2 linked regions of the Schizosaccharomyces pombe genome follow. Changing the gene in region 2 together with the main gene of any one other region gives a genetic interaction. Each region holds a gene or a part of one and is shown on either strand. Other genes may lie near its edges.

Region 1 (4,747 bases), on a different chromosome or scaffold from region 2:
AGTCTGGTAGTGCCACCTGTATGGGGAAAGATGCCCGCAATTCTACAAACAATGCGCAAGTATCCATCCGCAAAATGGATCTGGTGGCTAGATCAGGATGCTCTTATAATGAACAAAAATCTGTCCTTACAGGAATTATTTCTCTCACCTGCAATGCTCCAAAAATCATTGCTTAGGGAGCAACCAATTATAAACTCTTTCGGAGAAGATAATTTCAGAATCACTCCAGCGGCTTACTCCAAGGAAATGATAGAACAAATACAATTTCTAATTTCTCAGGATCATAACGGATTGAATGCAGGAAGCTTTTTAGTACGAAATTCAAGATCCATCGCTTTACTAATGGATTTATTGACTGATCCTTCTTTGGCAGATGCAGGAGTCGTGCGTCATGAACAAGATTTGATCGGCTATTTCATTCAAAAACACTCGCAGGTAGCTTCCATGGTTGGCATTCTTCCTCAAAGATTTATCAATGCTTTTCATGAAGGACCCCCTACAATGCAATGGCAAGAAGGAGATCTAGCTCTTCATTTCGCTGGATGTTGGGTTGAAAACAAATGCGCCGAGTTATGGACTAAATACAAAGATAAAATAATTTAAAAGGCTAAATCAATGCCCAAGTGTCGGCGCGTTATAGCCTCTAACATTTTCAATTGCATTTACAGTTAATTTATTATTACTATTTATCTTTTACTTCGTTATATTAATGCCGTCTTATTTAAACATAAATGATTCGCTCCATAAATAATTATGAAGCTGCACATTTTTACAAATCTAATTAATTTTCTTAAAAAAGAATAAATTCTATAAAATGCTTCAAAAACAACCCTCTAGACATAAAGTATCTTTTTCTAAAAAATATTAATGTCTAACACTAATTAAACTATCCTGTTTGGACCTCAGGCTAGTTTAAGCATCAAAAATTGCTAAACGCTTGTGATAATAATTAAAATTGGGGTTTGTTCATAAGGTCTAATGAGTCCATAATGAAGGAGAGATGAGAGGTATATTAAAATCAACCGCAAGTCCAAAATTATATTCTAAAAATAGGCTGACCGAAAGCAAATCACCGCTAACGGGATTTATAGACAGACGCAGGTAATAAAGTTGTATACATAGCCAGCAATCAAAGAAAGCTGAAGAGATCTAAACAATGTGCGTTTAGACAATAAGGATAGCAAGTCTAAAATAAAATTATGGTAATAAGTTAAAGAAATTTTCAAATATATAACATACAATTAGATTTTAACTTCTAATTGTAAAATAAGGTCACAATACAGAAAAAAGAAAGGTATTCCTCCTTTAATGAGTTTCATACTTATGAAAAGACAGCATTTCGCCATAAGCAGCATACCAGTCAGCTAAATATACTGGTGCAAATTCTGAGCTACCAATATTCCAGAATTTTCCGTGTGCTGTTTTTAAGAGAGGACGTTCGTCAATTGAGGGCCACACGCCATTGTAATAAGGATCAAGACGAGTCCAGGGAAACCATCCGTCCAAGGAAAATGCAAGATTCAACAAGCTTTGCTCCATCATTTTGGCATTCTCATACATATAAGGAAACCTTCCGATTTTAAGTATACGGTTAAAATGAAGCTCGCTTGGACGTATAAGCATTAAGCCAGCATTGAAATAAGGAGTATCTTCTGGAGGTATACTATGATGCTCTCCTCTATCAGAGACGGCTGCGAGAAGATAAGGGTAAAATTCGCTTCGACTGGCACCATATTCTTTAAAATCCTCATTGAAGTGATAGACGGTATCATCATCAGGCTTCGTGTAGGAAGGTAGCCGTGTATAGTTCAAGGTATTAATTTGTTGGTACATATAAGGAGTATCAAATATATCATCAATGTTCTTCATGATCAATATATCACTGTCAATTACGCAAATTTTGTCAAATTGTATTTGTTCGAAAATTCGCAACTTCGAAAACATTTGTTCATATCTAGCAGATATTTCTTGACTAAATGAGGATGTATCGTATACAATATCCGATGAAGCAATGGGGTCTATAACAATCACAGAAGCACCATCCTTTCGAAAACGTTCAATTTTCCACTCATCTACTCCACGGAGTGCAAGGATATGGATAGGGTATTTACTTTTGGTAGTAGGATGATATTTCAATCGGTGAATTAAAACCCTAGTAGCGTTGAAGTAGTAATCCTCTTCAGTAGAAGGCATAGTAAACAAACTCATATACGTATATTTGCCAGGCTCTTCTTTTAAGACGGCATTATCATTTTCCTCAACAAAGTTGTTTTTTAATGAAGTAAGCCGGTCATTAAGGGTTTGCTTATAATCGTGTCCGTTAAACACTAAGGTTGTCATCACAATAATCAAAACCACAGAAAACAACAGGAATTTGTAACGCGGAAGAGATAAAAAATTTGAAAGTGAAATTCGAGACATGATAAGAGATTAATTCAACGAACCGCTGAAACAATAGAATTTGAGACACGTGAAATTTTCGAAAGCCTTAAAAAAATGAAAAAAGGCTCTAAAGATGACTCCCTTTATGAGGATGTTACCCTCTAAAATTTATTTATTTCTTTTACCCTTAAACGACTTGCGTTAACAACCCTTTAAAGAAAAAATATCCGAGATTTATGTTTCATCACGCGGGTTGCTCTGCATTTGTCAATTTATTACCAGCACGTTGTTTGTACCATGTGCCGCGCTATATTCAGTTACAGTATTGTAATTCAAATTGTGGAATTGCCTTTTACAAATCCTAACGCTTTGTTTTTTCACAATCATCTTAGTTTGTGTGTAATGGTGTCAACTTTCGAGCTATCTGGATGTTGAAAATTATGAGCTTAAGCATGTAATAGAAATTGACACTAATGAATTAATTTGGTGAAGTTGTTTCAAACAGTGAAAAATCTGACTGTTAGCTGGAAAAGTATTGGAAATACCATTTAGCTTATTGGTAAAGTAAATATTGTGTAAATTTAACGAAATATATTTTGTCGATAAATCTATTCAAATATTCTTTCTCCTTGACCTGATAGACCTCATTAATCGGAAAATGCTTCTAGGTTTGTAAAGACACAAGTGTAAACAGTGGGTGCACAGACGTAATGGAACCACCGTTAAAAAATACATCTTTTAGACTTAGCAACTAATCTATATCTTTATAAGGCCAAAAGCCAGTGTAATCAATATAAAATAAGGACATACCAATACTTTGTAGGGCCAAAAAACAAGATAAATAAAAACTTAGTATAATCCGACACGAATGATTCAATAAAACTTCTATCAGCATTTAACAGAAAATGGCAGCTGCGGTGAAATGCAAATTATTAAAAAGATTTATTAACGCCAAACTGTTATTCCAATCTTCAATATTGCATTGGTAAATTGCCAAAGCAAATTAGTTGAACCAACAGAAACAGCTTCAAAGTCAATGTGAAATATATACAATATATAACAATTATTGATGGACGATTGTGTAAAACAAAACTCCCAGATATCTCGCTATAAAAAACTAACCTGAAACTTTGATTGCTATGGCACAACCGCTATATTAATTAGGTATGTAAAGATTAAAAAATAGTAAACATTATTAGAGATTCAGATAAAGAAAGGAAGATTGACGGAAAATTATACGGCGCTTTGTTTATATATATAAAATTTTTTAAAACACAAACAAATTAAACAGACGGATATAATGAATAAGCAACTTAGTCAATCAAGGCGTAAAACTTTTGCCATAGTTCATCGCAGCGGTTTTCAACCCAACATCCAGCAAAGTGAATTACCAAATCACCTTTTTGCCATTCCATATTTTCCGGACCTTCGTGAAAAGCATTTATTTTTCTTTGAGGAATAAGGCCAACCAGCGAAGCAAGTTGTGAATGCTTAGAAATCAAATATCCAAGCATGTCTTGTTCATTATTGGCTTTCGCACATTCTGCAACAACAGGATCTGTCCAAATATCCAAAAACAAGGCAGTAGCAGGTGAATTACGGAACAAGATACTACCTGCGTTTAATCCATTGTGATCCTGTGAGATTATGACCATGAGATTTTCGATATCTTTTAAACTATAATTACTTGGTGTATAACGCAAATCCCCGTTAGCATTTATAGGCCGTTTAGTGAGGATGGTATTAGTAATTAAGGTCTTTTGCAAGTTCTCAGGTTTCAAAAAGGAGTCTTGAAGGGAAAGATGGGTATTAGTAATAATTGCATCCTGATCCAACAACCAGATCCATTCCGCTTTGGGGTATTTCTTCATAGTTTGTAAGACGGCGGGCATCTTGGACCAAACGGCGGGAATAGGGAGGCCAGTAACATTGACATACTCAAAGTTGTAGTTTTGTTTGGTACTATAGTCAACTCTGTTCTGTATAGCTTCTTCAAACGTATTAGCTCCATTATTGTAAGAAGTGTGTCCATCACTAACTAGTAATAAGACAATATTTTGACTGGCAGGATTTTGCTGAGGCTCTGACTCGTATGACGCCTCGTGGAATGTAGTGCTTGTGGCCACCAAATGAGAGTCTAACGGCGCCAACTCAAACGAGTGATTAACGGATGGAGTGCCAATAGCATCGGAGAGCATGGGTGCAATTTGCTGATCATACAACTGGTTAACCTTCGACACCAAATCAACGTCCACAAAATATATCAACGAGTATAGAAACGCGCCAGCAATCAAGCCGACCGTTAAAAATAAGAAAAAAAAACGACGTGGAATCCTGGATAACATAAGTGCCATCTTTAGGTTAT
Region 2 (4,816 bases):
ATAACTCGGTTTCTTATTATCTTTAACGATAACCTAGATGGTCTTTGATTTTTCATTACACACTCTCATAATTAGCACGTTAAAGAAGCTTTGGAAAGCTGAGTGAGCATTGCAAAAAAATTTTAAATGGAAGTAGACAAATTGACTCTTTTCTGCAATGTTCGGAGGAAATAGTTCCTTTCTGTATAATCCTTATTTGAAAGTTTAGGATTTGCGGAACCCTTTTTTTTCTTTTCCACCCGGTCCGATAGTTGTAAAGGGGACAAATTTATTTTTGTCCGTTTACAAAAATAAAGAAGTAAAGCAGTGTAACTAAAGGGGAAAACATTGAGTTTTATGGTAAAAGATCCTATGTTCCATTAAACATCGAAAAAGGTTTGTTGGCTTTGAATTTGAATGAAGTTACATGCAGTTAAGTTAGCGAAACGATCGATTGGAAATTCCTAAACAATCGGTATGGTATGGGATGGGACTAAATAATTGGAGGAACTTGCTATAAGGTAATTAATAATATAAAGAAGCCGATAATATACAGTATGGTAATAGAAACAAAGCAATGAATCTTGCTCAGTCATTACTAGTTTGCTCTCTAGGGTTAAATTAGTTGGATCAGTAATTTTCAATCGAAACAAAAATATTTAAATAAATACGAATTATGCTTTACTTAGATTTATTATTGTTTTATTTTTATTTATTGCTCTTTTCATCTTTTTTAGAAGTTTTATTGTCTTTCATGTTTGGAATAGAATTTTTTCCCATTAAGCGGCAGTACTAAAAAAAAATTATTTCGATGTCTTTTAAAACCTGAATGATACTATTATATCTCTTTAAACTACTTTTATTTCTAGCACTTGCCATGTTGTTTTGTAATATTGGCTTTACCAGCCATTTGACTTTTTCTTTGTTTACACTAACATCACCGCACCAAAGCGTCAAGAATTTACTGCAGAATTTTACCAAAGAATGTAGAAACTAATTTTCTTTGGAAATTCGGGATTGCATCGATGCACAAGTCACTGACTTCTATAAATACAATTGTTTAGCAAGCTCCCTTTTTTTATTTTCAATAACAGGTAACACGTTTGGCAGGTAACAAGGAGACAATTAATCCATCACTCCAGAAACATATTAGCATTCCCCCCCGATTTAAACCTGGCCTTAACTTACCACCAATTTTTTTTTGCTTAAGGCAATTGGTTTTGTGTTTGTTAACATTCTAATTGTAAGACCTTGACGAAAAACTGGTTTTAAAGGATTTTTTACTGAGCTAATTTATTCGTTTATACGGGCTTTGTTCATTTCGCTTTTGGTAATCTCACTTTTTTTTGGTTTCCAGAGGCATTTTTAAATTTCAATACTTTTTCTTGAGTTTTTGATTTTTGCTTTCTTTTTAGTTTTGCGTTGACAAGTACTGAATTGTAATCTTTATCGTGGATTTAATTAGATTCAAGTGATTTTTAACACCTACATTGCCAAGTAGTATTAAAGTATTCATTTCATTGGTTTGGACTAGTTATATACTTCAAACTGGTGTTTACTTCCTTCTTTCGCTTCTTTTTCTTTCTAAACTTTGCTATATTTTGCCTTCGTTCGTTAGGTTACTATTTATTTACAAATTGAACCTTTTCATATAGGTTCTCTACAGGGATTTTCTTACCATTACTTATTGTAACAGATTTCTTAGTTGAGAGAATATTTTCACTTGGGGGGGTTTTTTTTCTTTTTAATTCACCACACGTATCTAGGTTTTCTACATTCTCTTGGATACAATCTCTTTTATTGCACAGAATCTTCTTTGATTTTCGTCTAATATTCCTACTGTCGGTTCTTTTACCCTTCCTGTTTCTACTTTTTAAAAGCTCTCATATATCACTCATCACCATCCTTTCTCTAATTTTATCTTTCGTTCACTGCTTAATTTTGCATTTCTAAGGAAATTCTCCGTTCCTTTATCATTTTATTTTATTTTGTCTCTTCTATATTATTAGTTTACTCTTGATTATTTGACAATGCGGTTCGCTCCTTATTTAATTAGTGCTGTTGTAATTACAACCATAATCCTGGGTGGAGCTTGGTGGACTTCAGCTATGGATACCAAGCTTCAAACGAAGATGAAGGAGATCATCGACCAACACACGAGTACTTGGACCCCAGTCGTTTCCTCCGTAACCAGTACCCAAACTGATACTTTACGTGTTACCATTAGTGAAGTTGTTAGTGTTACTGCCACTTTAACCGAAACTTTCACTGCTACTCCAACTGTCACTTCTGTAGTTCATGCTTTAGCTACCACTGATCCTCATCCGGATAACTCTAAAATCGTCATTTTGATGGGCTCTAACTTTCAAAATGATGCTAACTCTCCTCTCCATCCTTTCGCTCAGTCCATTATCAAAAATCGTCGTGAATATGCTGAACGCCATGGTTACAAATTCGAATTCTTAGATGCCGATGCCTATGCTTCTCGTGTTACAGGTCATTTAATGCCCTGGGTTAAGGTCCCTATGCTTCAAGATACGATGAAGAAATATCCTGACGCTGAATGGATTTGGTGGCTTGATCATGACGCGTTGGTCATGAACAAAGATCTTAACGTCGTCGACCATGTGCTTAAGCACGACCGATTGAATACCATTTTAACTAGGGAGGCTGAATATAAGAGTGGTGCAGGTATCCCCGCCGATGGATTTAGAACTCCAAAGGATCAGGATGCTAAGGATGTTCATTTCATCATCTCTCAAGATTTTAATGGTATTAACGCTGGCAGTCTTTTTATTCGTAATAGCGAAGTTGGCCGCTGGATTGTTGATTTGTGGTTTGAACCCTTATATTTGGATCATATTCAGGGATATGCTGAGCAACAAGCGTTTTCTCACATGGTATTTTACCATCCCCAGGTGTATAAACATGTAGGTGTTGTCCCACTTAAGGCTATAAACGCATATGATTTTGATGATAATATTTGGGGCTATGACGACGGGGACTTGTGTATCCATTTTGCTGGATGTAACTATTTTAAGAATTGTCCCGAGAAGTTCCTTAAGTATGCTCAAATTTTATCTTCTAAACAAGGATCCGATTGGATGTCTGCTCAAGAAAAGGATCATATTCAAAATCTTTTGAAACCATCATCCTAGTTTTTTTCAGTCACGCATGGAAAAATACCTTGTACTTTAGACTGGTTTAATTTCATGATATTTGTCATTTTACTCAAGAACAACGTCTGTCCAGTATGTTGGTAGTTTTCTCAATTTTTTATTATCGGGGATAAGCAAACTCCTTCTTTCATTACTAATCAAGTCATTTAATTATCCTCCCCTCCTTAGTGAACACCTTAATAGTTTCTCCCTTTTCATGATTTCATGAGCTTAGTATCATTACGTTCAGGACCTTCTAATTTCGTGTTGGAGGATTTTAGTGTTGTCTAATCTATTTCCTTTTCTAAAGTCAAGTTTTGTATCGTACTTTAAGTACAAAGTTCGAGTTTTGCTGTTACGCTTCAAACCGTTTTATTTAATTTTTAAACCCCAGCCTTTCTTGGAGTAAAATGTTAGTAGATGACAAACTTGTTAGGGGTTTGAATGAATTTTCATACGCAGAATGCTGCTTTCTTTAAAATCGGGATGATTTGAAATGTTATTTGAAATGTTGAGTTTTTTGTAGCCTACATTACGATTGTACGGCTTATAGGACAGTGAAGCTATTAAATACTTGATCTAATATGACCGATTACAAGAAAGTCCTTGATAATTTTTCTGCACTTCTTTTGAAGTTGGCAACTTTATGTACAGTATGATGCTCTATCTTTCTAAATAAAGTTATGTCAGGAGTCTTATGGAAATAAAATTTGCAATTCGTCGTAATGAAATCCATTTGAGTGATAATGGCTTTTGAAATTAAAGCATATATTTTTTTTATGCAAAAACAATGAATGAAATATTTGTAAACTGACCAAATCTATAAACCACTGCTTGAAAATTAAACGATTCGAATTTTACTCCTTTGTTCATTGTATCCAAGAACGGCACAACCCCTATATTTGGGTACTATCATTTTTTTACTTTCAAATGGGACGCAATTAAGACCGATTGATTGAATTCTATTAAATTATTATTATATATTAATTTTAAAAATAGTTAGCTTCGTTGTTCTAATTTAAATTATCATTGTTTGATTACAAAAAGTGAAGTGTGTTATTTAAGAAATCAATGTTCCCTCATCGAGTCTCTCATTTATCGAAACTATTTTCGAGAAGGTTTCCCAATTGGAAAAGAAAAGTCCAAACAGATTCTTGGTCCAATGTCCCAGAGCATATTCACTCAAAAATTGGTCGAAACCTTTTTCAAAAAGAAGGTCATCCCATATGCAGTCTACGACAACTTCTCGAACAGCAATTTCAAAAATTCGAAATGAATAATGTTCAAAAAGAATCACCTATTGTTTCTGTAGAGACGAATTTTGATTCTTTAGGATTTCCCAAGACACATGTAAGTAGAAGCAAATCCGATACTTACTATATGAACAATAAAACTTGTCTTCGAACCCATACCTCGGCTCATCAACCTGAAGAGTTCTCTCGCTTGGCCAAAGAAGGATTTAAGAAAAATGGTTTCTTAATAACCGCAGATGTATACCGTCGCGATGAAGTGGATTCTAGTCATTATCCAATTTTTCATCAAATGGAAGGTGCATTGGTGTGGAACAGAAATGATACTGCAAAAATGAAAAATGATCTAAAAAAAGTAGCTCTTTCTCCATCTCTTAAGTCAATGGTGGATGATGAAACTACTGCATTAGAAACTCATAATGACATGCA

What was found.
Region 1: mutations in gma12 (region 2) and otg1 impair growth when combined (synthetic growth defect), as found in Schizosaccharomyces pombe (one study listed by BioGRID).

What each region holds. Positions count from the first base shown.
Region 1 is NC_003424.3:165,115-169,861, forward strand, and holds otg1 (alpha-1,3-galactosyltransferase Otg1), read right to left. Parts: upstream 2,626-4,747; 5' UTR 2,422-2,625; coding exon 1,306-2,421; 3' UTR 700-1,305; downstream 1-699. Other genes in the region: alpha-1,2-galactosyltransferase Gmh1, read left to right, coding at 1-603; alpha-1,2-galactosyltransferase Gmh2, read right to left, coding at 3,696-4,736.
Region 2 is NC_003421.2:315,046-319,861, reverse strand, and holds gma12 (Golgi alpha-1,2-galactosyltransferase Gma12), read left to right. Parts: upstream 1-2,009; coding exon 2,010-3,137; 3' UTR 3,138-4,035; downstream 4,036-4,816. Other genes in the region: msf1 (phenylalanyl-tRNA synthetase), read left to right, coding at 4,209-4,816. UniProt on the Schizosaccharomyces pombe protein: Involved in the O- and N-linked oligosaccharide modification of proteins transported through the Golgi stack. This occurs in cis Golgi where the enzyme transfers galactose from UDP-galactose to a variety of mannose based acceptors.